3 linked regions of the Rattus norvegicus genome follow. The protein of the gene in region 2 purifies or fractionates together with the protein of the main gene of each other region. This does not show direct contact. Links are inferred from orthologs where the notes say so. Each region holds a gene or a part of one and is shown on either strand. Other genes may lie near its edges.

The links.
Region 1: the proteins of Nlrp3 (region 2) and Usp50 purify together in Homo sapiens (affinity purification with western blotting; 3 studies listed by BioGRID). This does not show direct contact. The link is inferred for Rattus norvegicus from reciprocal best matches to the Homo sapiens genes NLRP3 and USP50.
Region 3: the proteins of Nlrp3 (region 2) and Mavs purify together in Homo sapiens (affinity purification with western blotting; 4 studies listed by BioGRID and IntAct, with this or other methods). This does not show direct contact. The link is inferred for Rattus norvegicus from reciprocal best matches to the Homo sapiens genes NLRP3 and MAVS.

What each region holds. Positions count from the first base shown.
Region 1 is NC_086021.1:134,482,857-134,493,870, reverse strand, and holds the start of Usp50 (inactive ubiquitin carboxyl-terminal hydrolase 50), read left to right. Parts: upstream 1-5,011; 5' UTR 5,012-5,253; coding exon 5,254-5,306; exon of another isoform or gene 5,307-5,413; coding exon of another isoform or gene 5,414-5,431; intron 5,432-7,786; exon of another isoform or gene 7,787-7,860; coding exon 7,861-8,043; intron 8,044-8,312; coding exon 8,313-8,508; intron 8,509-9,973; coding exon 9,974-10,183; intron 10,184-11,014. UniProt on the Homo sapiens protein: Deubiquitinating enzyme that removes conjugated ubiquitin from specific proteins to regulate different cellular processes. Regulates the inflammasome signaling pathway by deubiquitinating 'Lys-63'-linked polyubiquitination of the PYCARD/ASC adapter protein.
Region 2 is NC_086028.1:44,823,839-44,834,971, forward strand, and holds the start of Nlrp3 (NACHT, LRR and PYD domains-containing protein 3), read left to right. Parts: upstream 1-4,259; 5' UTR 4,260-4,689; coding exon 4,690-4,972; intron 4,973-9,053; coding exon 9,054-9,167; intron 9,168-10,134; coding exon 10,135-11,133. UniProt on the Homo sapiens protein: Sensor component of the NLRP3 inflammasome, which mediates inflammasome activation in response to defects in membrane integrity, leading to secretion of inflammatory cytokines IL1B and IL18 and pyroptosis.
Region 3 is NC_086021.1:138,911,004-138,920,382, reverse strand, and holds the end of Mavs (mitochondrial antiviral-signaling protein), read right to left. Parts: coding exon 9,325-9,379; intron 8,324-9,324; coding exon 8,154-8,323; intron 6,232-8,153; coding exon 6,078-6,231; intron 4,027-6,077; coding exon 3,551-4,026; intron 2,816-3,550; coding exon 2,387-2,815; 3' UTR 1,258-2,386; downstream 1-1,257.

The sequences.
Region 1 (11,014 bases), on a different chromosome or scaffold from region 2:
GGCACGGCCCCAGGAGCCATCTACCTTGTTTTTTTAAAACACGGTCTGTGAGCTCACCAAGTAGACTAGATTGCTATCCCAGGGATCTTAATAATGTATCTGCTTCCTCAACACAGAGATTACATGCACTTGTCATCACACCAGATCCTCATAATTGTCGGACAAGTACGTCACCAACTTAAGCCATCTCCCAGAACTCATCATCTCTTAACAATCGAAGGCATTTTATGGTTAACCTTTAAAAGTAAAACTAGGAAAAAGATTTGGTAGAGCTTTTGACTGGCATGCAGGCTGTCCAAAAAGACAATTCATGCAACTATAAAAGTATCCTTGTAAGAAATCTCAATTGGGGGGCTGGAGAAATGGCTCAGCGGTTAAGAGCTCCGACTGCTCTTCCAGAGGTCCTGAGTTCAATTCCCAGTAACCACATGGTGGCTCACAACCATCTGTAATGAGATCTGGTGTGTATGAAGACAGCTACAGTGTACTTGTATACATTAAATAAATAAATCTTTAAAAAAAAAAAAGAAATCTCAATTGGGCTGGAGCAATGGCTCAGTGGTTAAGGGCACTGACTGCTGTTTTAGAGGATCTATCTGGTTTGATAGCCAGCACCGACATGGTGGCTCACACCCACCTGTAACTCCAGACCCAGGGGATCCTCAGGTGGTGCACACCCAGACAAAATGCTGGCACACAAACTCTGTGTGCATGTGCGTGTGTGTGTGTGTGTGTGTGTGTGTGTGTGTGTGTGTGTGTGTTTAAAAGAGAGCACCGGTTGCTCTTCCAAAGGATCCAGGGTTGGTTCACAGCCACCTATTACTCCAGTCATAGCATATTGGACACCCTGTTTTGGCTTTTGAGGACACCAAGAACATAGATGGTGCACATACATGCATGCCAGCAAAACACTTATACATTAGAAAAATAATAATAGAATATGCAAGAGTTGAAAAGCACAGAGCTTACCTCCAAACTGTCAAAGACGCATCAATTCTAATGTGAATATTTTAAACCTGTAATACCAGCACTCTGGAGGCAGAGGCAGAAGGATCATGAGTTCAAGGCCAGCCTGGGCTGCATACTGAGACCTTGTCTTAAGAAGGGAGGGAAGAGCTGGGGAGATGTCTTAGCAAGTAAGAGTGCTTACTGAGCAAATGGTTGCCTACTCACCGAAACTACAGTGCTGAGGGGTACAGAGATGGCGACTGAAGGTGGTAATGTTGAGGAGAGCTAAGATACGAGGCAACTAAATTGAATTATCAGGAAAACCAGAGACTCTGGGAAGCAAGTTGATGTTTGTAAGTTGACTGGCAACTGCAGGGAGCCAGGAAAACATACACAAGGCAGGTGCTTTCACCCTTGCTTCCAATGCAGCTAAATGTAATAGAAGTGTAAGTGAGGACAGCTTTTAACAAGAACCCCCCAGAGGACACCATCCTGTAAACAAAGGATAATCAGAAGGGACTGTGGTTACATCTCCAGTAACTGTGGCAGTATGCTATGCTATACCACATGAGAATTGAGAGAGCTGATGAACACTCACAGAACCCATCTAGGTCAGAGCGGCAATATTTGCAAGGTTGGTGGAGCCGCACTGCCAGACCAGGTTAACAGTCGGCAAACGTGTCAAGCTCAACAAAGCAAGTCCGAGATCACAGGGCATTTGAGAGAGACCACTCCTTATCTGAGTGGGCCAGAAGAACATGCACAGAGTATATAAACCTTCAATTGCCCTACTCCTGATGTGTGCAGAGAATCAACCAATTGTAATAGGATTCTCAGTCTGTTTGCTTGTTTGTTTGTTTGTTTGTTTGTTTGTTTGTTTTTTGAGACAGGGTTTCTCTGTAGCCCTGGCTGTACTGGGATTTGCACTGTAGACCAGGCCGGCCTTGAACTTAGAGATCCACCTGTCTCTGTCTCCCAAATGCTTTAGTTAAAGACATGCCACTAGGCTCAACTGGTGTTCTCAGTCTTTGTCCAGTTTCGACTCTAGCTCCTATAAAAAGCCCCTAAACAATGAACTCAACGTTTATTTCTCTCTTGGGACCGCCCCACCACCACTGCTCTTCCCTAGTTTCTTACTTTGATTTCTCCCAAGAAAGATTGTTTTCACCTTAGGCTTTTATTCATCACAGTTGTGAGAGATTTCAGAGCCACAGCCCTGCGTTAACTTTCACTGGCTGCTTAGACTCTGGAAACCCAAGTCTCTGGCTCACAGATATCTGGATGGAGAAAGGTCTCAATGATCTCAAAATTGCATCATATTGAAAATTATTGGGCTGGAGAGATGGCTCAGTGGCTAAGAGCACTGTCTGTTCTTCCAGAGGTCCCAAGTTCAAATCCCAGCAACCACGTGGTGGCTCACAACCATCTATAATGAGATCTGATGCCCTCTTCTGGTGTGTCCCTGTGTACTTATATATAATAATAAATAATTTTCTTTAAAAAGACTTTTAAAAATTATTTTAAGTATGGGTAAACCTCACTCTCCTCAATTTCACAGTGTGGTCTCTTACTAGAGAGCATTTCTCCTTGGTCCTTGTCTTCTTGAAGGAAATAATTCAGCTATGATGCAGACAGTTGAAGCATAAATTTATCATCCCAGGGAGACTGAGGTGGGTGGGCCGGCTGAACAGGGAGGGTCAGCTCACTGGGGACGTTTACAAGGTTTTATCACTACCTGTGACATGGGTTTCATATTCATAGCGGTGAAGTGAACCACTTACCTCCAAAGTCATTGCATTTGATCTCTCCTTTTATTAAAACATTTTCTGTGATATTCGAGAAAAGCCTACAGGAGGAGGGCTCTCAGCCCCTAATGCGAAGGACAAAGGACTGCGCAGACTGCAAAGGGCGGTACAGACTTGGAATTGTGACTCAGTCCTGCTTGTACCCAGGCGACCAGGAAGTGCCTGGTGCGTTAATCCCGATCCAGCAGGAAGAACGGAAGTTGCAACCTCAAGGATGTTTAAGCACAGGAGTATTCTCAACATAGCAGCTTCTGTTGTTATAGCACACGGAACCCCTTGCCTCCCAGCCTCCCCAGGAGAGGTGAAGTAGATTAGCATCATGAAATTCCACTATATAACACCCAGAGCTAAAAAACCAAGGCGTTTGGAATAATATGGTCGCCCTCAGTACTCAACTATAGCTTAACGTGAATATGTGAGAAAGAATGTAGACTACGCTTTCATATTGTCAAAATATTTGGGGTTGGGGATTTAGCTCAGAGGTAGAGCGCTTGTCTAACAACCGCAAGGCCCTGGGTTCGGTCCCCAGCTCTGAAAAATAGAAAAATAGAAAAGAAAAATATTTAAAGTACGTGGAGGTAGATTTTAAAAGTGCTGCACAACTTCAAGATAACTAGAAAGAAACGTGTAAGAGGGGCAGATTCAATCAAGCCACCAACGAGAGAAGGAAAAATTAAGAAGAAGCCCCCTTAGTTTCCTGTGAGTTGTGTGAGGTGAGGGCACACTGTGGGCAGTGGTGACCTGATGTGCAACTGAGGCATGAATGTCGCGTGCTCGGCAGTGGGAACACAGCTGGCATTGAGCATTGATGAGACAGGAGCTATACTAGGGCTGGCAGAATCTAGGTGTCTCCCAGTTAGAGTTAGTCTGAATGGGAAGGGAAAATAAATCTAGAAAGGTTGTGATTATTGGTGTGAATTCTGATTCACATACATGCAACACATACATGCACTCACACAGAGGAAACCATTATGGATCTAATGCATATTTCTTAGTCATTGTGGGGGCTTGTTTGGTATAGTATATTAGTGTGTGTGTGTGTGTGTGTGTGTGTGTGTGTGGTGCAGTGTGTGGCTTGCAACTAAAAGGCCTAGAAAGGACACTCTCCAGCCTGTTGAGTGCCTGTGGGCGTGTGTGCTCCTGGAGTCCAGCTTTCATGAGCTGTCACTCATACTGGCGTCTTCAGTGACACCGCTGAATCCTATTTGCTCCTGATCTCCCATCTATATGCTATAACTGACCCCATTGAAGTTCCTTGGTTCACCAAGTTGGATTTTGATGGTATCCTTCCTTTGGCCTGTCTTCAAATTCCCTCCCTGGGATAAACTTAGGGCTCTCTGCCTGCTTCCTGCTGGTGCCTGGCTGTCCCAGTAGATCTGCTCAGAGGGCAGGCCAGCAGCAACTCGGCACTCCAGAGGCACAGCCCCAGCACAGGTGCTTTCCCAGGTCACAGCCACATGCTTCCTCTAGTTAGAGCTGAGGATGCCGTCCTTTTCCTCTAGTGGAATAGTCTAAGCTCAGAGAATCACGTGTGCCCCTTGTAGATCCTATATTAAGCCCGTGTGATGGTTTGGCTATGCCTGGCCCAGGGAGTGGCACTATTAGGAGGTACAGCCTTGCTGGAGTAGTGGTGACCTTGTTGGAGGAAGTGTGTCACCATGGGGGTGGGCAATGATACCCTCCTCCTAACCACGTGGGAGCCAGTCTTCTAGTGTCCTTCAGATGAAGATGTGGAACTCTCAACATCTCCTAGCATCTCCTGCACCATTGTCTGCCAGGTTACTCCCTTGTTCCCTCCCGCCTTGATGATGATGGACCGAACCTCTGAAACTGTAAGCCAGCCCCAATTAAATGTTGTCCTTATAAGAGTTGCCTTGGTCATGGTGTGACCACGTTCACGACTGCATGTGAACAGCCACAGCAGGAAAACCCTAAGACAGCCTGTGTGCTACAGGTAACGTGTTCATAGCCAGCCGTGTCTCCATCCCACAAGTAAACACTTCTGGTGACCTCACTGTAGTGTGCACTGACATGAGAAAATCTCACTACCTCCTCCATAGGGGGAGAGATGTTCTGCTAGGGTTCGTGGGAGCAGTGTTGCCACACGATGTCCCCTAATCTAGGGGATGAACATCTATGTGTGCTCATGTGTGAGAAACCGAGCAAAGGAGGGAGAGGAGAAAAGTGGGCAATTCATTCTCAAGAAGTTGACCTTTCGGAAGCATTTCAAACAAACCAGTAATGGTATCCCTTGACAACACGTTAGAACCTTGGTATGAAGGGTGACAATTGTGATGCAGGGGAGGACCCAAGAGGAACCAGGCTTGAGTTCAGTGAAGTCAGAAAAGTAGGGAAAAGTGGAAAGTAGAGAAAAAGGGGGAAGGCGTTCAAACTGTTCAAAAACAAAAACAAGCCAGGGGAACAGTTTTGGAGAAATGAAGTTAAAAGGCTCACAGTTAGCTTGTGAGTAGAAGTGAAAGCCCGATGTGCTCCCAGGAACATGGCGTCTCATCGGCCGTTCCCTGCAGATGACTTCGGTGCCTACTACATCCTGTGAGCCTCAAACCCTGTGCCTTTATAGATAACCTTAACAGTGGGGGGCCTTACCCAGAGGAGCGTGGCGCCTGTTGCATTTGGGAGGGCTCTGCCAGATTTGGCCCATGAAGGACCCACAAGAGGTAACTTGTACTTCCTAACCATCAGGGGGCCTCCCTGGCATCACTGAGTGAAGTAAACGACTGGCCCAGTGAGTGCTTCTTAGATGGGTGTAAATGTGAGCAGAGGCACAGAGGGAGGCTGCTGTGTCATGGGGCCTGCATTTCAGATTCAGGCCGTGGGAAGACAGGTCACAAAGACAAAGGTGACCAGCGGCCCTACTGAAATCCGTCAGATAATAAAAGGGAGCTGCACGGATCAAGGAGGCCTCCTGGAGCCTGCAGTGTTTCTCATCTCTGCGTGTTGGGCAGATGCTCCCACCCCATCTCCTGCCATTAAGGCACTAAATAAGTCATTGAATTCTTCTTTAAAAAGATTTTATTTTACATATATGAATGTTTTGCTGGCATGTGCCCTTGGAGGCCAGAAGAGGACATTAGATCCCCTGCAACTGGAGTTACAAATAGTTGTGAGCTGCCATGTGGTTGCTGGGAAGTGAGGCAGAATCTTCTGAAAGGACAGAAAGCGCTCTTAACTGCTGAGCCATCTCTTCAGCCCCCGCCGTGAGTGTGTGTGTGTGTGTGTGTGTGTGTGTGTGTGTACATGGGTATCTATATATATGTGTGTCTGTATATATAAATGTATATATGTATATACATGTACAATACACACATATTATACATGTATATAGATGATTACACACATGTATATGTGTGTATGCATACTATATATAAAGATGTATATATGTGCATATACATTATATGTGTGTATATACATGTGTATATATATACATATACACATAGATATATACACACATGTGTATGTGCATATATGTATATATGTACATATATATATGTGTGTGTGTATAAATATACACTTTTTTTGACACAGGGTTTCTCTATATAGCCTTAGCTATTTATTTTCTTCTAGAACCCACTCTGTACCCCAGGCTAGCCTCAGAGTCTGAGATTCTCCCTGCCACTACCTCTTGAGTGCTCAGATCAAAGGCAGTGCCATCAACCCCCTATTGATGGGGGTTGGGGATTTAGCTCAGTGGTAGAGCGCTTGCCTAGAAAGCGCAAGGCCCTGGGTTCGGTCCCCAGCTCCGAAAAAAAGAACCAAAAAAAAAAAAAAAAGATATCATTGACTATGTGATCTAAGCTAAGTGCCTTGCGTGGTACCTGCATGGTCCTCACAGCAACCCTGCCAGGAAGGTAGTAGTGTTCCCTGTTTTGCTGGGGGATCAGGTGCTCGAGACCACATCTGTGTCTCACACACATTAAGCACATACTCAGTTTCTGTTATAAATGAGCAGGCATAAGAAACCAGATCATATTTATACAACTAGTTATTGGCACAGCAATGATTTGAGTCTGTTTTTTCTCTTTTCCTCTATGTATGTACGTGCATGCCTTACATATCTGTGTATGCATACATACATATCTGTGCCCTTAATGTATGAATGTATATGTTCCTGCCATGTGTATATATCATGTGGTACCTAGAGAGTTATATTCATTCTCACTGTATGGTCTAATTCCATATAGCTTAATAGACAAGAAAATATCTCCGTTTCTTCTGCATCACTGTGTACTTCCCCTTGTAATACTACTGTGGGCCAATGACTTACTCACAGAAGCCGGTTAGTCTATCTGTAAATGGGATTTTAGAAGGACTGTTTCTACCCAGGAGAGCTGTGGCAGACATTTAATGGGGAATATGTCTTCAGTACTTACCATAGTCAGACTAAGTAAAAATGTCTGTGGATGCTACTGTTAAGACAGGAAAGGCTTTGGTTTTTAGCAGTTGCGTTTGCATGTTTAGCCAAGCCACCCTAAGACCTGGAAGGCTGGTCTACAATCCTTCTGCCCTTGGTAGAGAGTGAGTTTGAGAGCAAAACCCATTAAGAATCTTTCCTAGCCATTCATAGAGGTACATACTTTCTTATTTTTTAAAGAGCTTTCTTTTTTGTTATTAAAGATTGATTATTATATAAAAGCACACTGTAGCTGTCTTCAGACATATCAGAAGAAGGCATCAGATCTCATTACAGATGCTTGTGAGTCACCATGTGACTGCTGGGATTTGAACTCAGGACCTTAACCACTCAACCATCTCCCCAGCCCAGGGTACATACCTTTAATCCCAGCACTCAGGATGCAGAAGCAGGGGCAATCTCTGTGAGTTCAAGCCCCTCATGGTCAACATAGCCAGTACAGAGTAAGCCAGGGATATAAGGGAAGGCTCTACTACAAAACAAAATGAACAAAACCCTTCTTGATTGGCTGATGCTCTAACTTCAGTCACTGAGGTGAGAAAGAAGAGAATTGTCAGTTCGGGCCTTGCCTCCCAGCCACAAAAGAACGCTTTTATTTCAGAGGTTGCCAGGGCCTGACTGGTACTAGCACTCACTCTTCCCTGGAAACACTCTCCTTCCATGTGGCCCACACAGTGCGGAGTGTGCAGACTATGACTCCCTTCCGGAGTCTGAGACCCAGCCACACTTCCAGGGCGTGACGGGACTGCGGAACCTGGGCAACACCTGCTACATGAACGCCATCTTGCAGTGCCTCTGCAGCACATCTCCACTGGTGGAGTACTTCCTGTCCGGAAAGTACATCACGGCTCTTCAGAAGTAAGAGGAGTTCTTCCCCGAGTCTGCCCCACCCCAGCTCCCCCAGGTGAGGGTGAGGAAAGGACCCGCTGGAGTCCTGGTGAAGGGCTACAAGCCCTGGCACCATAGGTTCCCAGAGAACACATGGAGGGTGAGGACTGCAGGGTAGATGGGGCTCTGGTGCAGTGTTGTGGACTGATCCCGTGTCCCCCACCCCCACCCCCAACCCAGACTGGGTCTTTTCATTAAATCAGCGGGGGACGTTTGCCCTTTGCCCCTCTTCTTCTCAGGGACTGCAGCGAGGTCACCACGGCCTTTGCCTACCTGATGACAGACATGTGGCTTGGCGACTCAGACTGTGTCTCCCCAGAGATATTTCTGTCGGCTGTTGGCAGCCTTTACCCAGCCTTTCTGAAAAAGACACAGCAAGATGCGCAGGAGTTCCTGATTTACGTCCTCAACGAGCTTCATGAAGCTTTGAAAAAGGTAAGCGTATACATACATGTATTCAGTCTGCATGGCCTGCCCTGCAGTGAGTAGGACATGGCTCTGGTGCTGGGGGTCCTGAGGAAAACATCCAGGTTAGGATATTGTTTATTGGTTGGTTTGATTTTTTTACTTAAATTTAAAAAAAAGTATTGTATGTGCATGTATGTCATGTGTCACTTGCTTGCTGTGTTCCCTTGGAGCCAGAAGAGGGGGTCGGGTGCCCTGGAACTAGAGTCAATTGCCAGCCACCATCCTTGTGGGTGCTGGGAATTGAACCCAGGTCCTCTGGAAAAGCAGCCAGTGTTTGTTTGTTTGTTTGTTTTATCAAAACAGGGTTTCTCTGTATAGACCTGACTGTCCTGGAACTCACTTTGTAGATCAGGCTGGCCTCCAACTCAGAGATCCCCCTGCCTCTACTCCCAAGTGCTGGGATTAAGGTGTGAGCCACCACTGCCCAGTGCAAACCAATGCTCTTAATCACTAAACCATCTGTCCAGATCCTAAAATTATTTTTTTATATTTACTTTTACTTTTTTCTGAAACTGAGTTTTACTGTGGAGCCCAGTCTTTTTTTTTTTTTTTTTGGGTTCTTTTTTTCGGAGCTGGGGACCGAACCCAGGGCCTTGAGCTTCCTAGGTAAGCGCTCTACCACTGAGCTAAATCCCCAGCCCCTGTGGAGCCCAGTCTTATGACTCAGAATCTTTTTGCCTCAGCCCTGCTCCATGTGCAGATATTATAGATGTCTGAAACACTCACATCCCAAGCCTTCTTTGACATGTGGCAGATGCCCAGGAGCCCAAAAGTACTCCAGATTTACTCAGACATTCAGAGGATAATAGCCCAAATGGTTCAACGAAATCAAACAGCTCAAAAAACACAGTAGGAACCTTCCAAGCCAACCGGAAGGCAAAACCCAGGTCCAACTGACCAGGAGAAATTTACCTGTGTTCAAAACAGTGTCTAAACACTCTTTGTCCTAATTACAAAGTAGCCCATGCTGGCTGAAGCTTGAGATCACAGTCCTCTCAGGGAAAGCAGTCTAGGGGCTGTGGGGGTCCTGTTCAACCTTCCCACCCAAGGCCAACCTGCTTCCAAGTGCCTGTGTAGCTTGCCAATCTGTAACCAGCGCTTTCTAAGGGTCAACGCCTGAGCCTTTAACCAGCTAGGTTCAACCCCTGCCTTCTTCACGGGGACAGTGAGAGGCAGTAACACTGGGAAGATACAGGAGATCTATCCTGCTTGCCTACACTGGGAAGAACCAATAAAGAGAGGTTCAGTGATCCCCAAGTCAACTTTGAGGTACTGACACGAGGTTTAGATTTAAAAAGGTGGCTAGCAGTATATGTAACTAAGAGTCCTGTCCAAGGCGGGTGCTACCCATCACTGAGCCATCTTTGTATTGGCACCTATCTTTCTTGCAAGACAGTGCGGTTTCATAAGAGGGATTTGTCCTTTTATGCAGCACTGCCGAGGAAGAGCGAGTGAGAAAAGAACAGCCCAAAACTGCTGCAGGAAAGTGCCAGCCCATGAGACCTCAATCATCACCCGGCTGTTTGAAGGGCAGCTCAGTTACAGCATCACGTGTTTAAAGTGTGAGACCTGCACCTACAAGAACGAAGTTTTCACCATCCTTTCCCTCCCCATCCCATCGGAATACGAATGCTCCCTCCAGGTAGGGAGAGCTCAGCTTCTGAACACGTTTTCCTGTTTTGTTTTTTTACGATGTATGTATGTATGTATGTATGTATGTATGTATGTATGTATGTATTATGTATGTATTATGTATGTATTTAATGTACGCTGTAGCTGTCTTCAGACACACCAGGAGAGGGTATTGGATCCCATTACAGATGGTTGACAGCCACCATGTGGTTGCTGGGAATTGAACTCAGGGCCTCTGGAAGAGCAGTCAGTGCTCTTTTCTGTGTTTTTCAGGCTACCCTGGGACACTGGGCTCAAGCAATCCTGCCTGAGTCTCTCAGGGACTGGGATTACAGTTACAGCTGTAATTTCCTACAATTTTAAGTAGGAGAGGGCTGTTTTATGCCCTAACTCTATAAAGAAAGGTAGCCCATGCATGAACAGCATCTTTAAAAAGCAACCTGTGGTTATAGCTACTGTGAATTTAATTGTATTTCTAAATGTACTCAAGGCAGAGGCCCACTTAAAATCATGGATATGGGAGAGGTTTATTCAGTCTCTGGAGATGGGCAGTGTGTGATTTCTTATGATGATATCATGCCTCCACACAACACATTCTACGGTTTAAGACTAACACTAGTTATAATATTCTTTTTTAAAAGGATTTCTTTTTATTACACAGCATATGCTTGTTTGCCTGTATAGTGTACCATGTGTAGCTTGGTGCCTGAGAAGGCCAGTAGAGGGCATCAGGTTCTCTGGAATTGCAGTTACCGCTATGAGCCACCATATATATGGGTTCCAAACCAGGGTCCTCTGCAAACACAGCCAGTGCTCTTAACTGATTGGCCATCTCCCCAAC
Region 2 (11,133 bases):
GGAATTCATATCTAGTATTATAAACATGGTCAAACTCCAGTTTCAGGGGTTCTGATGCCTTCTTCCCACCTCTCTGGGCACTAAGCACATGCCAGGTGCATTTATACACATGCAAGCAAAAACACTTATACACATAAAATAGATACATCTAAAAATGTTTTTTTAAAAAAGACTGCAGTATCCATTCCATACCCAGGAGACAGCATTTTATACCTCCCACTCCTTCGTCTCCTCTTACATTTCTTTCTGTCCCTACTGACAATGTTTCCCAAGCCATGAGTGAGTGAAATACATGTCCCATCTAGGGCTGAGCATACAACGGTCCCTTCTTTCCAAGTGTTTTCAGGCCAGGTGTGGTAGTGCATACCTGCAATCCTGGCCCTCACGAGGCAGAGGCAGGCAGATCTCTGTGAGTTTGAGGCCAACCTGGTCTACATAGCAAGTTTCAGGATAGCCAGTGCTACAAAGAGAGACTCTGTCAATAATAATAGTAATAGTAATAATAACAGTATATTAAAGAAAACTTTTCTATAGTAAATTTTATTGATGAACATTTTACAATCCTATAAATTATATTTGTTGGTTTGCTTGTTTGGAGGGGGTGGGGCATGCCACAGCACAAGTCAGATGACAACTTCTAGGAACTGCTTCTCTCTTTCAACCATGTGGTCATCAAGTTCACAGCAAGCTCCTTTACCTGCCGAGCCATCTCGCTGACCTTTCACCGACGCTTATCTCAACACTTTGGCCAGTTATGAGTCTCGGCAGTATTCACTCTATGTAGATAAGGCTGACTGACCTTTAGCTTTCCGGTGCTGGGGCTCTACGTGTGTGCTGCTAGATACCATTTTTATGTGGGACTGGGGCTCGAACGGGGGGCTTCATACATTCCAAGCAAGCACTCTATCTGCGCTCTGTCTATGACTTCTTGCCATTTTGATTTGCTATTACCGGAGGGATGGTGATGTTGGACACTGTTCACACCCCTGTGGGCTTTTGGCTTTCTTTTGAGTGGTGTTTGTTCATGTCCTTTACTATGGAGTCGAATGAGGGTCTTGCATATTTTTGCTATTAACTGCTTATCTAACCCGTGGTTTACAAATGTCTCCCTCAAGGTCGTTAACAGCCTCTCCACGCCACTCCTTGTGTCCTCCGAGCGTTTTAGATTGGATGGTCCTGGTAGTTTATTTTGCCTCTCGTTCCATTGCTTCTCGGGAGACAGAGTCAGCACTGCCTGTATTAACAGGCTTTCCCTGTCTTCTGGGTGTTCAGGGCTTCAGATCCGCTCAGACCTGTATCACTTTGAGTGGATTGAAACGTGGTGTGAGATCAGGCAGGGTCCAGTTTTATTCTTCACCATATAACTACGGTGCAGTCTTTTGGAGGCCAATCATTTATTACTTCTTACTTTTTGCAGTACTAGGGATGGAAACCAGGATCTTGGGCATGCTAGGAAGGCTCTACTATCTAGCTGTATCTCCCCACTTCCTCTTTATTTTGAGACAGGGTCCCACTCAGCTGCCTGGGATGGCCTTGAACTTGCAATTCCCCTCTTCAGCCCCCCAAGCAGCTGGTATTGTGGATTTGTACCACTGGGTCTGGCTGAAGAACATTTGTTGGCGAGATCAACCTTTCCTTTTTACCTTCTTGGTTGTCCTTGTCAAAAATCAGTTGCTCACGTAAACTTGGGTTTATTTTTGCACTTTCTACCCTTTCCTATTGATCTATGTACCTCTTTTTATAAAGGTGTGGATTTTTGTTACATGCAAAATATAGTTCAGTCAACTCAATTTTTAAGAAAAAGTTCTCGGGTGCAGATAGGTCTCCCAACCCCCTTGCCATCCTGAGTGCGACAGGTCTGCTTCTTTTCAGTTTTAGCATTGAATTCTTGTCACTTCTGTCCCTGTATCAGCAGAGTCCCTGAGATGTGGGTCTGCCCTTTCACCTGCCTCATTCAGGACACTGAGAGAGTACCTCTTGCTCAGAGTTTGCTAGAACTGTGCCCTTTCAGACAGTGGACTTGCAGTTACCAGGAAACTGCGGCAGGGGAAGCAGGTCTGTGTGGTCATCAGTTCCCTCCTTCTTCAGGGGTAAAGAAAACCAACCACTTTGGCCTTTTCCTGGGACACAGTCAGTTCTCTACCTCAACCTGACAAGTGAGTCCAAAAGTCATGGAGTAAGACTCCTACTTTTAAAAAGTAACAGGAGATGTCAAACACTTGGAGCTGCCCGCTGACCACCTCCATGAGAGGAGAAAGAAATTAGAATCTGGGGTTTCAGAGCCTGACCCTGTCTCAACTCTCCACATACCAGTTCTGCTCACCACTGCTTACTTCCCTCTCTCTGGAGTCCCAGCCCTGCTTTCAGAATCTGACCCTGTCTCAACTCTCCACATACCAGTTCTGCTCACCACTGCTTACTTCCCTCTCTCTGGAGTCCCAGCCCTGCTTTCAGAATCTGACCCTGTCTCAACTCTCCACATACTAGTTCTGCTCACCACTGCTTACTTCCCCCTCTCTGGGATCCAAGCCCTCACGGAGCTGCTCACTGCCTGTGCTGAACCCTGCGGTTTCACCTTCTCCCACTGTTTCTAAAGGCTTCTTCATGGAACCTGGGGAATTCTGGTCTGCAGCCTATGCTTACACTCAGAATTCTATTGCTTGGGTTTGGAAAATCCATCCAGATGAGTAACTGTTAGTCCGCCTTTGACAGTGATGCAAGCTTGCTCACGTCTTGAAGCCACATCCTTCCTACTTCCAGTGTCACAGTGACCCCTATAAATTCATCTGGTTTCTCCTTTATCTGTACCCAAAGCTGCTGTCTGGGTGAGTACAGTTTCATGGAGCAGTGTGGGTAAAATGTCCAGGGAAGGAATGGGAGGCTATTTTTTTTAAAGATTTCTTTATTTATTAATATCTAAGTACAGTGTAGCTGTCTTCAGACACACCAGAAGAGGGCATCAGATCCCGTTACAGATAGTTGTGAGCCACCATGTGGTTGCTAGGAGTTGAACTAAGGGCCTCTAGAAGAGCAGTCAGTGCTTTTTTTTTTTTTTTTTTCTTTTTTTTTGGAGCTGGGGACCAAACCCAGGGCCTTGCGCTTGCTAGGCAAGTGCTCTACCACTGAGCTAAATCCCCAGCCCCCAGTCAGTGCTCTTAACCACAGAACCATCTCTCCAGCCCGGGAGGCTATTTTTAATGGCATGATTTATCTTAGACAAGGGAGTTCCTTTAGACTAGTCTAACTTTAAAGTATTTCAGGTATGTTCTGTTTGCTGTTACGTGGTTCGTGCATGTTGGGGAAGTTTGTGTGCATGCACACAGAGAAGAAGCAATCATAGCTTCCTAGGACTTCAGTGGTATCCACTCAGGGCAACAGAGGGTGGAAGGCCAGTGAGGGAGTATGCTGACAGCCCAGGGTGCAGCTAATGTAAAGACCACAGCTATGGTGGTAGCAGAGATCAGAGGGCAGGAAACTTGGGGTGAAGGCCAGGAGCTGAGGGCTCAACTTCTAGGAGGATCCATGGAGCTGAGGCAACAGTCAGCAAGAACCCTGGAGATGACAGAAAGAAAGATGTGAGGTGCTGCAGGAAACTGGAGAGGTGGTGCAAGAACGGACACAAAACAGGGATGGTGAGCTTGAGGCACCTCGAATGTCACCTTGCCGTCACATGAATATCATTTCGGAGGCTGTCACTATCTTCCAGACCCTTTCCTCTACCAGCTTCAGTCTGAGAAGGCCACTTAGTGTCTCTACTACTCAGCAGAAGGAACCAACACACCTCAGTTGGGAAATTAGGTGAGAAAAAGAAAAAGAATCAGGGCAGCAGCATCTAGTCAGGGGCTCTGACTGAATGTGAATCGTGATGCTTGTTATAGGTATGAGATGCTCAAGAACTGTTAAAGGGATACTCACAATCAGTCTTCCTCTTTCTGTGCACTCAATTCCACCCGATCGGATTCTGTTCATCGGTGGGAAATGGAGGGGCATTGAAAGATTGTCTGTCTGTCTGGGCTGAGCATTGAAAGACTGTGAGTGTTTGTTGCTCTGCCATTACTATAGCTGATTCTGCTGGCTCCCTCCTTCCTTTGTTCCTTCCCGTCAGATGAAAATAGAAGCAAGAAACCAGAGCCTTCCATTCAAAGAAATCGGGAAGCAATCTCTTCTGCTTTCTCAGTGACTGAAGGAGGAAGCTGAGGTTGAGAAACTGTGAAGGCCATGTCCAGGTCCCAGACTCATCACCATGGGTTCTGGTCGTACACGGGTCCCGGTGACCTTGTGTGTGCTTGTTCTCTGCATGCCGTATCTGGTTGTGTTAATGCCTTTCTTCTTTTTAATTTCTACAGAGGAACTTTGCTTCCATGGCTCAGGACATGATCCTGGATCAAGCTAAGAGAACTTTCTAGGAAGCCTTTAGCTTGCTCAGCTCTTCCTAAGTCAGAGATGACGATTCACAGAATCAAGTCGTAGTTTTTTTCCTTTGAGTTTTTCGAGTTAAGAAACTTTAAAAACTGTGCCAGTCTATGGGGTACCCTGAGATGTTTCAATATTAGCATCTAGTTTCCTGGATTTCTGCTAACGCCGTTTTCCGGAAGTGGAGACTTTTGACTCTTTTTTTACTCACACGGAGTTTTCATTCCTGCTCTGCCAGCGTGGATCTAAGCCCAAAGACCCTCGCAAGAGGTGCTGATGAAGATGATGAGTGTTCGCTGCAAGCTGGCCCAGTATCTAGAGGACCTGGAAGATGTGGACCTCAAGAAATTTAAAATGCATTTGGAAGATTACCCACCCGAGAAAGGCTGTGTTCCGATCCCCAGGGGCCAGATGGAGAAGGCAGATCACTTGGATCTAGCCACACTCATGATTGACTTCAATGGGGAGGAGAAGGCGTGGGGCATGGCTGTGTGGATCTTTGCAGCGATCAACAGGCGAGACCTCTGGGAAAAAGCTAAGAAGGACCAGCCAGAGTGGAGTGAGTGAGAAGGTTTTTTTTTTTTTTCCTTACAGTAAAGTCCACCGGACACAAAAGGTAGAATTTTAGTAATTGGACGTGTGTAGCTTAGTAACAAGGAAACATATAGTTATGCAACCAACTTCTCATCTTGCACAACTGAAGCTCCCAACACATTAGATGTTAAGTCCCCATTACCTAACCCCATCTCCTAGCAACCACCACTCTGCTTTCTGTCCCTGTGAACATTACCACTATGGGTCTCTCACACAGGTAGAATGATGAAGTGTTTGTCTCTTGTGGCTGGCTTGTTTCACTTAGCGTAATGTCTTCAGATTTCCTTCTTTAAAAAGATTAACAAATTTAATCTTCATTCACATCTTCATTTTACATCGTGAGCATCTCATCTGTGCATATCCGTTTGCTATGATCTGTGCATATCCATTTGCTATGATCTGTGCATATCCATTTGCTGCCATGGAAACTGTGTTTATTCAACATCTTCCTTTCTTTGCTTTTGAGTTAGAGTCTCAAGGATCCCAGGCTGGCTCCAAACTCAATCCTCCTTCCTCTGCCTTCTAACTGCTGGGAGATGATGTCCTTTACTATACAGAAGTTAGCATGTTTGAAATGTTAATTTATTATCATCGGTTTTCCTTCTCCCCTGGTGAGGTATGAGAGGGTGGGAGGGAGCAGTGTGCTTTTTCTAATTCTGTAAAAGCTCCGGTCTTTGCTTTACTCCTGGGGGCCTGTTGTGGTTGGTATCACACTCTCCTTCCCCAACTGGCTCAGAGCAGATGCTTGTCTGCTCTAAACCAGGGAAACAGCAGAAAGGATTCAGAATAACCTGAGAAGTCCCAGGCATCCTCTGCCGAGTAGGAGCAGGGCGGAAGGAAGTAATCACAGGAGATAAGGATGCCTGGGGTGGTGTTATTCAGTAGTAGAATGCCTCCTTGTTATGTACAGAGACCTGGGGTCCATCCCTACAGCACTGGGCCAGTTGGAGTTGAGGAGGTGTGTGGCAAGGCAATGGTGACCCAGGAGAAAGAGATGGAGCTATGAGGCAATCCAATTGCCTGTCATTGTTCCTGTACCGAGAATGGGTACAAGAGGAATGAAGAGTTAATCTCAGCAATAGAAGCCCTGACTGAGCAATTTTAGATCTTTTTCAAATTAAAACGTTAAACCTTTCAGCTATTTATTTTGTGTGCTTGTATGTGTGTGCTAATGTGTGTGCACATGTGGAGGTCAGAGGACAATTTGTAGGGTTTGGTTCTTTTTACCGTGTAGGTCTTGGGGATTAAGCTGTTACTCCCTGAACTGGCTCTTTCTGGCTCTATACTAGGTAGTTGGTTTTGTTTGTTTGTTTTTTGTAAGATTTATTTTGGACTGGATGTAGTAGTACAGGCCTTTATTTCCAGTACTTGAGAGGCAGAAGCAGGTGGATTTATTCAAGTTCGAGGCCAGCCTGGTCTACAGAGCAAGTTCCAGGACAATCAGGACTATGTAATAAAGAGATCAGGTCTCAAAGAAAATCCAAAAAGCAAAACCCAGAAAGCAACACAAATTTTACTTTATATGTAGGAGCGTTCTCCTGCATGTCTATGTGTGCACCATGTATTGGCAACTGAAGAGGCTAGAAGAGGGTATCGTATTCCCTGGAACTGGAGCCACCATGTGGGTGCTGGGAACTGAATCCAGGTCCTCTGGAAGAGCAACAAGTGCTCTTAATCACTGAGCCACCGCTCCAGGAGCCCTGTACAAGGTGGCTTCAGTGGGTTTTGTTTTTCTTTCAATAACCCCATGACATAGTTCCTAGTACTGTTGGTGCTTTCAGGTGAAGGACGAGAGACAGGGCGTGGTTCTAATTACCCAAGGCTCTCCCGTCAGGGCCAGCCAGAGTAAGAGCAAAAGGCCAGGCGAGACTATAAAAGTATAGCCATGTGATGTTGGCTTTTATATCTAGATTTTAGGCATAAAAATTGTCATCAATATTTGATGTTCTTTTGGGGGTTGAAGTGAGATATTATGGGAGAATTGGGCAGAGGTTTGGGGTTGCATGAGTGTTTAGATTTTTGTTTTGTGATTCCATTACCAGTGGTGCTCTCTCCTCTCCTCTCCTCTCCTCTCCTCTCCTCTCCTCTCCTCTCCTCTCCTCTCCCCTCCCCTCTTCTCCCATCCCCTCCCCTCCCCTCCTCTCCCCTCCCCTCCCCTCTCTTCTTCCTCCTCTTTTGTCCATCCTTCTTTAGATCTCACATATCCCAGGCTGGCCTCAAGCTCACTGAGTGGCTGAGGATGACCTTGAACTCCTGATCCTCCTGCCTTCACTTCCTGGGTGCTAAGTATGTGTACTAACACCCCACCTGGCTTATATGCATGCTAGGAAGATATTCTACATCCCTGACATTATCTTCCAGAATAATTCTACATCCACAGGAGTATGTCCGTGTCTTTGATCTGCTTTGTGTGCTTTGTGTGGGAACTTTTGTTATATTCCTAAATTTCCCCTAGGAGGAAAGTCTATACCATTGGGATTCATAGCTCTTGGCTGTAGGTTCCCATTGGCATCACCTTGGCCTTTTCCATGGGTAATAATGCCTAAGCCTCAGCACAGAGTAGAAAGAACTCCTTTGAGTAGGGTATTACCCAGCATTTTCAGACCTCTCCATGTGAGTTCAGTAAGCCATGGTTCTGAACTACTTAACTGACTGACAGTGTTCACTTGTGAAGACCTGGAAATCTAGACAGGACAGCACAGGAAATGACCCTCATGGGTTTCATACGTCCAGCTGAGCTCAGGGGAGGGTGAACCTGTCAGGAGAGCATTGTGACTCTTGCACATAGACCCTAAGTTAAGGTGCCAGAGACAGCCAGGGACAGGTGACAACGGCAAAGGAAACACCGTTTGATCTCATCTGTTCTCTAACGGATTTCTGGGCCTGGGAAAGACATTCTGAGCTTGGGGACGCAGTTCTGTCTAATGATTGACAGCTTCCCTTTGAAAGCGAGGTGAGCGGGGTTGGGGATTTAGCTCAGTGGTAGAGCCCTTGCCTAGGAAGCGCAAGGCCCTGGGTTCGGTCCCCAGCTCCAAAAAAAAGAACAAAAAAAAAAAAAAAAAAAAAAAAAGAAAGCGAGGTGAGCAGAATCATGCCTACTAGGCTTTCAATGCCATAGCTATCAAGATCTGCAGCTCTTGAGCCATGCTTACTCCCCTATCCCCCTACCTTTTTTTCTTTTTTTTTCCTCTTTGAGATGTGACCTCATGTAGCCCAGGCTGGCTTTGAACTCATTGCGTAGCTGAGGATGACTCTGAGGTACTGATTTTCCTGCCTCCATCTCCCAAGTGCTGAGCTTAGAGGGATCTGTTCTCATGCCTGGCTAAGCCACATTTAATTCAGAAGGAATAGGGAGTAGGGGGGCCTTTGACCTACCCCAAAGACTAGACTCCATTCTATCCTTTGTGTTAGGACATTTTATGTATTTTGTGTTCCTGTAAAATTGTAAAAAAGCTTTCTTTTACTCCACACTAGATCCAGCACCTCAGTGCCCCAAGATATTTGGTAGACATCTTCATCTCAGTCAGCAAAGCGTCTTACCCGCTCTGCTCCATCCCATATCACACTGCTGATGGCTACTCTCTGAGCCTGGCAGCAATCTCTCTACCCATCTAGTTTTCAAAGCAGGTTGCCACCATGCCAGAAATATACATCCCAATTCCGTGGCAGCCTAGTGTCTTTGGCCACCACATACTCTCTTAAACTTAAATCACCACAAGAAAGAACACACAACACAATAACCTCTGATCCAATTGATAAGGTATAATTGCCCACCTAAACATACAAAGCCCTGTACACATCCATCCCTTAAGAATATTCATAACAACCTGTAAATGTGCAGAGAGGAATCTCAACATCTGCCTCCATGTTCTCTCCGCTGCTTCTCCTGACTCCTCCAGTCTCCTCCTCTCTCTAAATCTTTTCTCCCGCCCATCCTTCCTTCTCATCCAATGACAGGCCTCGTTCTATCCTGTACCTGCCTTCACCTGTATGACATCCTACAACTTTGTGTTTGTTTTTTTTTTGTTGTTGTTGTTGTTGTTTAGATGATGCATGCACGTCTAATCTCTCCATGGTGTGCCAGGAAGACAGCCTTGAAGAGGAGTGGATAGGTTTGCTGGGATATCTCTCCCGCATCTCGATTTGTAAAAAAAAGAAAGGTATGCATCAACCTGCTGTTCTCAACTTTGTTTTGAGACTTGGGACAGGGGACTAAGGAACTAGAAAGCAGAGACACTTGGCCACTCTACAGGGAAGGAGGCCTGCCTCAGGAACTCCACCTTCACTGAAGAAGCAGATGCACATTTTCATGCCTTCCTTCCTAAAGTCCTGGGGAAAGGGTTTACTGCAAGCAGATATGGGCTTCAGACTAAAGGTATAAAGGCTTGAATAACATTTTCTGGCTGGAGGCTGCAGTGCTGACTTTCTGCCCTATCGTGAGTGGGAAGTGATTGACACCAGAATTTTGGGGACCTGATAACACTTGAGCAATAGGGACAAATTACACCTCCTATTTTTCTTGTATTTTTGGTTGTGAGCCTAGCCTTTAACAAACTAAGGCCCCGTCCATCTGAACCACCTATTTTTCTAAGCCAGTCCTTCCTTTCTCTAGAGCATAAGCCACTGGCTTTCCTTCTAGGCACGTGGCCATGCCTCTGTACAAATTCAGAAAACAGTAATAGATATAATGAGAGATCCCTGGAGAGCACATTGCCACCGGGGCTTATGGACTGCAAGCACATAGGCTTCAAACCAATCACAGAATGGTTGGCTGTTGCCATAACAGTTGCACCACCGCTGCATCAAGGACTACACCTCGCTGTGTACAGTTGAACGTTTGGCGAGCACGTTGCTCTCTATCTAGTTGGCAGTCAGCACTCTGCATTTTGTCATTGTTCTCGAATCCTCATAATTCTTTTTTTTTTTTTTTGGTTCTTTTTTTCGGAGCTGGGGACCGAACCCAGGTAAGCGCTTCCTAGGTAAGCGCTCTACCACTGAGCTAAATCCCCAGCCCCAATCATAATTCTTAATGTTCCTCCTGTAACAGCACAGGCCTGCTGACCGCTTATTGTTGGGGAATAGATGTGTGGGCTCTTCCTGGATTCTGCCTTTCTGTCTCTGCTGCAGATTACTGTAAGATATACAGAAGGCATGTGAGAAGCAGGTTCTACTCCATCAAAGACAGGAATGCACGTCTAGGTGAGAGCGTGGACCTCAACAGACGCTACACCCAGCTCCAACTGGTCAAGGAGCATCCAAGCAAGCAGGAAAGGGAGCATGAACTCTTGACCATTGGCAGGACTAAGATGTGGGACAGGCCCATGAGCTCCCTTAAGCTGGAGCTGCTCTTTGAGCCTGAGGATGAACACTTGGAGCCCGTGCACACAGTGGTGTTCCAGGGAGCAGCAGGCATCGGAAAAACAATCCTAGCCAGGAAGATTATGTTGGACTGGGCCTTGGGGAAGCTCTTCAAAGACAAATTTGATTATTTGTTCTTTATCCACTGTCGAGAGGTGAGCCTCAGGGCACCAAAGAGCCTAGCAGATCTCATTATCAGCTGCTGGCCTGACCCAAACCCACCAGTCTGCAAGATCCTGTGCAAGCCTTCCAGGATCCTCTTCCTCATGGACGGCTTTGATGAGCTGCAGGGGGCCTTTGATGAGCACATCGAGGAGGTCTGCACAGACTGGCAGAAGGCTGTGAGGGGAGACATTCTGCTAAGCAGCCTCATCCGAAAGAAGTTGCTGCCTAAGGCCTCTCTGCTTATTACGACGAGGCCAGTAGCCTTGGAGAAGCTGCAGCATCTCCTGGACCACCCCCGCCACGTGGAGATCCTAGGTTTCTCTGAGGCCAAACGGAAGGAGTATTTCTTTAAGTATTTCTCAAACGAGCTGCAGGCCAGGGAGGCCTTCAGGCTGATCCAAGAGAATGAGATCCTGTTTACTATGTGCTTCATCCCCCTGGTCTGCTGGATTGTGTGCACAGGGCTAAAGCAGCAGATGGAGACTGGAAAGAGCTTGGCCCAGACCTCCAAGACCACGACTGCCGTCTATGTCTTTTTCCTTTCCAGCCTGCTGCAGTCCCGGGGGGGCATTGAGGAGCACCTCTTCTCTGCCTACCTGCCAG
Region 3 (9,379 bases), on a different chromosome or scaffold from region 2:
TCCAGCCAACAGTGATCATCTTAAAGGAAAATCTTGTTTCCTCAAGTCCGCAGGTATGTGTACCTAGATGCCTTCTGTGGGTAGACATGCTCCTTCCATCCCCTGGGTTCTGGTTCACTTTGTCCAGACCTGCTCCAACTCTCCCTCCTACAGCTGTGAACCCCACTGCGGCTGAAAGCAACCCACAGACATTGGACTCCTGGGACCTGACACGACCAAAGCCCCCCCTCTTCCTGAAGGTGGCATCAAAGCGTCTAGCTGAGACAAAGGTGTCATTGAATGCTGGCCTGGTCACCAAAGTTTGCAAAGTGCAGGGAAGGCCTTTGATAGATACTTCCCACACATTCTTGACCTAAGAGATGCCTAGTGACCAGTGCTTGAACTCTCGCCATCTGGGTAACCTCTGTAGGGCTACATACTGTATTACTGAGATTAGTCTTTCAAAGCTACACTAGAATAGTAACACTAAAACTAGTCCATGCACAACTCTTCACCAGCATGGCCAGCATGGCTCTGGGAGAGGGTACAAAGTCCAGGGTTGTTAGAAACAAAGGTGATAGAAGTTGTGTAGACAACTTGGGGACAGGTTACACCTAGATTCATGGCACAGGTTGAAGTGAGCCTTGAAGTTAAGTATAGGTAATTAGGGCATGTAGGGAAGATTGCAATAGCAACCCCTGATAGAGAAATTGTCCACAATAGGGCCCAGAGATAGAGGTGGCTACACGCTTATCCCCTGTCCAGCAAAGGGCACCCTGAGGAAGCCCGTGAGGATAGCCTCAATATACATCATTGTATTTCACTGTCTGGAGACTGGCTGGCCTGGAGCTGTGTAGACCAGGCTGGTCTTGAACTCACTCAGAGATCTGCCTGCCTCTGCCTCCTGAGTGCTGATTAAAGGCATGAGCACAGCCAGCCTAAGCCTAACTGTATTTCTGCTATAGGAATAACTAGACTTCCTGCCCACTGAGAAGGGAAGAATGTGCTAAGACCTATCTCTCACCGAGAAGGGAAGAATGTGCTAAGACCTATCTCTCACCAGGTACCTTTTCTTTAAAAGTGATGATGTGTCAGATGGTGGTGGCCCATGCCCTTAATCCTAGCACTTGAAACAAACAGGTGGATCTCTGAGTTTGTGGCCAGCCTGGTCTACAGAGTGAATTCTAGGACAGCCAGGACTACACAGAGAAACAGTCTAGGGTGGGGTGGTGATAACATGTATCCAACCTTTAAGAAATTTGGAACACACAAGATTTGTACAGATAAACTCTTTTAATTAATCCCAATAAAACTAGAATATATTAGCATATATATGCATATTCACCCCATCTCACAGGTGAGAAAAGTGAGGCACAGAGGTAAGGTCTACACCTGACCAGGGAGGAGACAAAAGCACGATGGAGGCGAAGGCTGCTCTCTCAAAGACTGTGCTATTACCACTGTGCACTCTGTCTCTCATGCTCTCACCTTAGCTCTACCAGCCTGGGCAGGACGGCAAGAACTTGTGCTCACACCCTCGGGGATAGGCACTAGGCAAATATCTCTATCCTTCAAACTCAGAGGAGCCCAGTAAAAGGAAGTGCTACCCACTGTCCACACTGGGAGGAAGACTAGAGAAGCTAAACATCTGCTAAAGGCAGAGAAAGGGTGGAACTGATCCAAGCCCAGCCTGAGCTCTGCCCACTAGGTATCTCATCATCCAGTGTAGGAGGTCAAAGAGAATGGAGACCAGGAGGGGAGAAGTGAAGAGCTGGGATAAGGAGGCTGGAGCAAGGCTCCCAGGGGCTTTCTCAGGCCTGGGAGCTGCTTCTGGCTTTCTTGGAGTCCACAGAGAACCTCCAGGCCCACCCTTAGGGCTGTCTGGCTGGGGAGAGGGACCAAAGGGGCAGAGCACCCAAAGCTCCCAAGAGACCAGCTGCTCTGCTGCTCCCAGGCACTCTGCCGAGGCCTCAGCCAGGCTGCTGGTGGAAGGCATTGGATGCTACGGGACCACTCATCACTATTCTACGCTTGTGTTTCAGGAGACCTGGGTGAGAGGAGGGGCACTGTCAACAGTGCAATGCCTCCTCATCTTCAGGCTTGGGCCAATAGGGATGAGTCTGGTGGGGATACCTCCTTAGGAGCACATAGCATGCAATCTTACCCTGCCCTGTGGGCAGGTCAGAAGCAATGGAAGGGATACAGGGCCCCCAAAAGCTGAAGACCAGAAGATGACATGAACCAGGATAGAAGCAGTGTCTCTTCCCCCACCACATAGTGATGGCGCCTCAGTACAGGTAGCACCTGTACCTGGATAACTCAGTGGACCTCGCCATATCTACCACCCCAAGCCTAGAGGGCATGCTTGGCAGGACTGAGCAAGTGAGTGTGGCATACAGCTGAGGCTTCACTGGGCCAGGTGCCTGCTACGGTAGAGCATCACTGCCAGGAATGCAGCCAAGAGTGCACTGGTGGCCCCCAGCCACTTAGCCCAGGACACTGAACTGGCACAAGGCTCTTCCTCTTCTGGGGACTGCTGGGTGGCTAGTGGCTCAGGGCTTCCTAACAGATCAACACTGGGACTTTTATCCACCTGGATTCGAAAGGATGAATACTCATTCTCCTCTGGACCATGGTTGGGTTCTGAGCCCAAGGAGGTGCTAGGGCTGATGGCAAGGTCCATAGAGCAGGCTGAGAATGGCTCGTTGTCCACCTGGGACACCAGCACCCCTGGCTTGCTTAACTCTGGCCCAGAGTGCAAGCTCCTGGAACTGATATCTGGTCTGGTCAGGCTGCTTCCAGTGGTGACTACGGTTGCTGGAGCCTCCAGGGTCTCCTGCAAACATAAGAAGAGGGGTTCAGGTGACAGGAGATAACCCAGGGTGTGGCAAGGGCTTGAACTAGTATCCCACAATAGCCGAAATTACCCTCTCTTGGGGATAAGACACAGCTGAGTAGGTGACCAAGATGCTGCAGTACCCCTCCAGGGCAGCCCTCTCCCACTCACGGAACTGCTGTGAGCTCCACTAAGAGGGAGCCCTTGCTGGCATGTGAACCATCTTGTACTACCTGGGCCTGAGAGCCACAGGGCAGGCACAAGATCCTGAGGTTTACAAACTTGGTTCCCTTAGGTAGACAGTTGTATGGTCGTGGGGAAAATGGCTATAGGGGTCACTAGGTTGGAGAAGCTACTACAAGCAGGATGCTTGAGAACACTGTCGAATGAACAGGGCACTAGGACACATGAGCCATCACGTTTAGTCCCCACTACTCCAGCTACAAAATGGTACTGCTGACCTTCACTGGGGCTTCAAGCTCCAAATGAGTTAACAGACATGCCAGTGGGGGAAGTCCCATGCCCCACCCTACTTAGTCCGAGCTTAGGCGGGCTCATGACTCTCATTCCTCTTGGAAAACAAGGTGCAAGGGCTGGGTTTGGCTGCTTCCCATCTGTCCCACCACCTTGAAGAAACAGACCAGGGACAGCACAGGAAGTAAAAGGGTCTGAGGGCAAGGACCAGCTGTCTTGGCAAAGTAGCCTGAGCCACTATTAGGAGGAACAAGGACTCACCTTGGCTTGCTTGTTGTTCCTCTCAGGTGGCATTGTGCTGGCACTTGCTTTGGCCACACTAGCAGTCACTTTGGATGGCACTATGCCAGTATATACTGAGTTGATGGGTAATTTTGATGGCGCTATATTAGTGGGCACAGTAGAGGGCGTTGCAGCAGTGGACTTTGTACTGATGGGCAACTTGGAAGACATGGTATTTACTGGTACTGGTTTGATGGAAGGCACTGAGCTGGTAGTCACAGAATTGGTAGGTACTCCCTCTTTAGTGCTGACACAGGTGGCAGCCTTGGCCTGGTCACCTGCTCCCTTTGCAAAAGCTGATCCAGTAGAAGAGGAGGACAAAGTGGTCTTGGCAGATAGAGCTGATACTGTGACCCCAGGCGAGAGGTTTGTCCTCGGGGCAATACGTGGAAGGGGCTGGAAGGAAACAGTTGGAGACACAGGTCCATAGGTTGCTATGGGAACAGAGTCAACATCTACAGGTGGGGAGAGAAAAGCAGAAACAAACCCAAAGGATGGTTTTAACTTAAGGGCTAGAGAAGGGTCCCCATGTCCTTGATCACATGGTCCCTTCCACATCTTGCCTCCCAATCTCCTCCCATGGAAAAGACTCTTGCCCCTCAGCCCTTAACTTGTAACCCTAGTCTGTCCTATCATCAAAGTAAAATGGGCTCTACCTTCATCCACACCTAAGAGCTTAAACCTTGGTATAAATTATTCCTTTTCCATCGACCCTAAGCACTTGCCTCTTCTCTCACTTCAGCCCCTTCTACCTTGTCCTGGGGCATGAGCGTGGATGTCCTGAGACATTCCTCTTACTACTGTCCCTCACTACCTTCTAGCAGGAGCAATCCTGAATCAGGGCAAGCAGTGGCAGGATGGCTCAATAGAACCGCTAACACCAGTCAACTGACCCACAGGCATATGTCCCCAAGGATAGGGACCTAGTAGTCCCAGAAAGGGAGCTTGATTTGGGGAAACAGAAGTAGCAGGAAGTTACAGTGCATAGAGCTGATGACGACAGACTCTTCCCAGAACTCTGAGGATACATTTGCCATCACTGACAAAGGTCAGAAGTGATGTCCGACATCTCTCCCTAAACCTGACAGAAAATCTCCCGGAGCCCGTGCTTACAGACATACTTCAACCAAGTGCCATTTGTGAAAGCAGTTGGGGGCACTGGGACAATTTCCTCTAACCTTTAACTGTTCACATGGCAATCCTAGGGCACTGAGGGCTCACCTGGCACCAGTAACAAACAGAGCAAACAGAACTCAATTTGGGAAGTAGAGGTGAGCCGCTCTAGCCTGGAAGTCGGGGTGGACAAACTCTAGTCCTGAGGGGGACACCAGGTTCTGAACCCTGGCTGACTTATCTGGGGTTGAACCACTTTAGTGATTTTTCTGGTTGTCTTGGTTACTTTTCTACTGCTGTGACCAAGACAACTTATATAAGAAATCACTTAATTTGGGGCTCATCGTTCCAGAGGGTTAGAGTCCATGACCGTCATAGTAGGGAGCATGGCAGCAAGGAGGCAGGCACTGGAGCAGTAGCTGAGACCTTCCATCTTACCCACAAGCATGAGGCGGGGATGGGCTTGGAAGGGGGTGGGGGGGGGAGAGAGAGAGAGAGAGAGAGAGAGAGAGAGAGAGAGAGAGAGAGAGCGCAAAGGCACACTATCTGGGAATGTCATGAGCTTTTGAAACCTCCAAGCCCACCTCTTTGACAAGACTACACCCCATAGTCCTTTCTAAACAGCTCCACCAACTGGGAACCAAGTATCCAGATGTAGAAGCCTATGGGAGCCACTTCATTCAAACCACAGCTGGGAACCAGACATCCCCTTGTGAAGAGCTCCCTCATTAGCTACCCATAAGGTGTCCTTCCCGTCTTCAGGTCCTGGGCAATCACTACCTTCTACCTGAGTGCAGAAATAGCCCTAGCTCTCTCCCACATGCAGCAAGGTACAAAAACTATACACCCACAGGGCAAAAATCACACTCTCCAATGTGATTTGACCAGAATCTAGTAAAAAAAAAAATCTCAGAATCTGGGCTGGCCTTATCATTTGTTTTGACCACAGAACAGAGCAGGAGTAATAAGACCTCTTGCCTTATTACTGAGCCTAAGCTCAGAGCTCTGCCTCTCTTTTATTTACCCAGAGCCTTACCCAGATGCTGTGAGTTGGGTTTTTGTGCTAGAGGAAGAGAGAATGAGGAAGTACCAGCCAATGGATGTAGTAGAACATTATGTATATGTCAGGGAACACCCGACACAAAATCAGCAAGATCAGAAGACCTACCCAGCTGAGCCATGTGCTAATGAATGACTGCATTTTAAGCTGCTGCTGCTGCTGCTACTACTACACACACAGGTATGCACACAGCACACACACACACACACACACACACACACACACTTTTATTTCTACCCTGCCTCCTATCTAAGGAAGGCCAAGTGGTAACTGTAACCCTAACCTTCATGTGAGCGGTCCAGGAGACCCTCTCATACCACACTCTATACATACTTGCTGTGGAGGGGCCCCCCAGTTCGGGTTCTTGCTCGGGATGCTCTCTGGAGGGCTGAGGGCTGAGGGCCGGTGGGTTAGGTGAGGATATCAAAGAGTCACCCGACATCCTTGGAATGGCCCCAAAGTTGGCCTGTGGGGGTTCCTCCGAATTCTGAAATAGAGGAAATAACATAAAGCCATTGCTTCTCCTGGGGCTGAAAAAGGGCAGCATATATTTATGGGGCTCAAGAGCACAAGCTCCTCGGAACCTTTGCTTGGCTTCAGGCTACAGGAAGCCTTCACATATGAGGCTGAAGCTCATCGATTATACTTGCCTAATGTAAGTCTCCATCCCTAGTACCTATTTGGTTTTTTTTTTTTTAAGATTTATTTATTTATTATATATAAGTACACTGTAGCTGTCTTCAGACACACCAGAAGAGGGCATCAGATCTCATTACAGATGGTTGTGAGCCACCATGTGGTTGCTGGGATTTGAACTCAGGACCTCTGGAAGAGCAGTCAGTGCTCTTAACCTCTGAGCCATCTCTCCAGCCCTTTTTTTTTTTTAAGATTAATTTATTTATTTCATATAAGTACACTGTAGCTGTCTTCAGACACACCAGAGGGCATCAGATCTTACTACAGATGGTTGTGAGCCACCATGTGGTTGCTGGGATTTGAACTCAGGACCTTTGGAAGAGCAGTCAGCGCTCTTAACCACTGAGCCATCTCTCCAGCCCACCTATTTGGTTTTTTTTTTTTTAAAAGATTTGTTTATTTATTATATATAAGTACACTGTAGCTGTCTTCAGACACACCAGAAGAGGGCATCAGACCTCATTACAGATGGTTGTGAGCCACCATGTGGTTGCTAGGATTTGAACTCAGAACCTCTGGAAGAACAGTCAGTGCTCTTAACCGCTGAGCCATCTCTCCAGCCCCACCTATTTGGTTTTGTTGTTGCTGTTTTTGTTTTGTTTTGAGATAGGACCTTACGTATCTCACCCTAGCCTTGAACTTACTAAGGATGACTATGAACTTCTGATTCGCCTGCCTCTCTCTCCTGAGTGGCAGGCGTATAGGTGTGTGTCATCATGCCCAATTTATATGGAGCTGGAGACTGACCTCAGGCACGTGTGTATGCCAGACAAGCACCCCAGCAACTGAAAGCTCTATTCCCAGCCTCCCAGGACAACTGTGTTTTCTAAAGATTTATTTATTTATTATATATGAGTACACTGTAGCTGTCTTCAGACACACCAGAAGAGGGCATTGAAACCCATTACAGACGGTTGTGAGCCACCATGTGGTTGCTGGGAATTGAACTTAGGACTTCTGGAAGAGCAGTCAGTGCTCTTAACCACTGAGCCATCTCTCCAGCCCAGTCCCCAGGATGACTTCAAGTGCATTAAAAAAACAAAACAAAACAAAAAACCAGGCACTGCTGAAGTTCCCTACCCATGTGTCTGTAACCACTGTCCTTTCTTCAGCAGTCTGCACAGACCCTATGGCTTCAGACCCATAGTCTAGGTCTAGGGTTTCTTCTATACCCCATTGTTAACTCACTTCATCCCGGTGGAACTAGTTATCTTCCCCTGATACCTGATTTTACTGTTGATAATTAGCTCTGTCACTACCCACCCTTCTTGAGCCCTCATATCACCTCTCTCACATACAAATCTGGTTACCCTCTAGTCTTTTTTACCCAGCTCAACATATCACATGACCATTGCAAAGACCTCAACAGCACACTAAGGGGCCACAGGTCTAGCCAGCAGTTAGGTAGCTAGTTAGGGAACCCCAGCATTCTTAGCAGAAATGAGGCATGATTTTCAGGAGGTAGAAAGGGGCTCTGGGGGGTTGGGGATTTAGCTCAGTGGTAGAGCGCTTGCCTAGGAAGCGCAAGGCCCTGGGTTCGGTCCCCAGCTCCGAAAAAAAAAAAAAAAAAAAAAAAAAAAGAACAACAACAACAAAAAAAAAAAATAAAAAAAAAAAAAAAAAAAAGAAAGGGGCTCTGGAAGGCTGGGTGGGCAGAAGTGAGCAGACAGGCACACAAAAGCAGGCAGCTTAAAACAGATTATGAGGACTTACCTCTACTGGGGACTTTGGTGGCTGGGTGTCCTGGACAGGCTTAGGGTAACCTGGTTTATCTTGGAAGCCACTGTCAGGGATGGTGTGGCCTGCTGCAAATGCAGAAGGTTCGGAAACCGTGGTAGGAATTCTTGGTGACTGCAATGGGTCTAGGGAGTGGAGTGAGGCCCCTAAGGTACAAAGACAGAGTGATCTCCAGAAAGAATCAGAGGTAACTTGGTAATAGAAGAAGCCTGGATGCTTTGGGGCATCTAGTCTCCCTTCAGTAACTCCATGACCCAATGTGGGATGGATTTATTAGACATGATAACCATCACTGGGGAGGGAACAGGAGGGAAAGAAGAACTGGGGAAGACAGGAAAGGGTGCAAGGAAAATGAGTGAGGAGGGGCACAGCCTTTCACAGCCAGACTTTTCAGTGCTCACTCTCTGCTGTCCCAAGACCTTTTCCTCACAGCTGTCATCCCCAAATGACCCCTGCCATGGCCATCTCTGACTCTACCATAGCCATTTCTTTCTTGAGAGAGCACCGTAGCTTCCACAAACAAAAAGACCAACATGGAAAGAAGGGAAGAAAAGAGAAACAAAAGCAAACATGATGTGTTCAAGATTGGCTTGGTTTTTCTTCCCGGATCTTCTCTTCAGGCCCAAACACTAAACTCCCTCTGGTCACATGACTTGGCAGTGACATTGAGAGGAACCAGACGTTCGGCCGTTATCATTAGAAACCAGGATATTCTCAGAGAAACCTTGGGGCAGGGAAGAGAAATGGCGAGTAGGGCAAAGTGACTGGGTGTAGACTCTGTACTCTACACTCTGTGCAGGTGGAAACAGAAGGAATGGAAACAGGTAGGGAGACAAACACCAGAGCCACAAACACGATGGCAGGTGCCTTGTGCTGGGCATAGGGAAGATGTGGAACTCCAGCTAAGTGCAGCCACACATGAGGGATGTGGCCACTCACCCCAGTGTGACAGACTCAAAACTTAAGGAATAGGGCCAAAGGGACATATAGCTAGTGAGTGACTCAGCTGGATCTAAACCCAAGCATATCCTATAATGGAGAGTGATGAAGACAGAAAGGCAGGAGGTCCAAGGGTAAAGGAAGAGGGAGATTGCAGGCCAGAGGGAGAGGCAGTGGCCCAGGAAGAAGGCTAGGGTAGGATGCTCACCAGGAGGCAGGTAGCTCTGATAAACTCGAGTCACTTGCTCAGCCAGCCCAGGCAG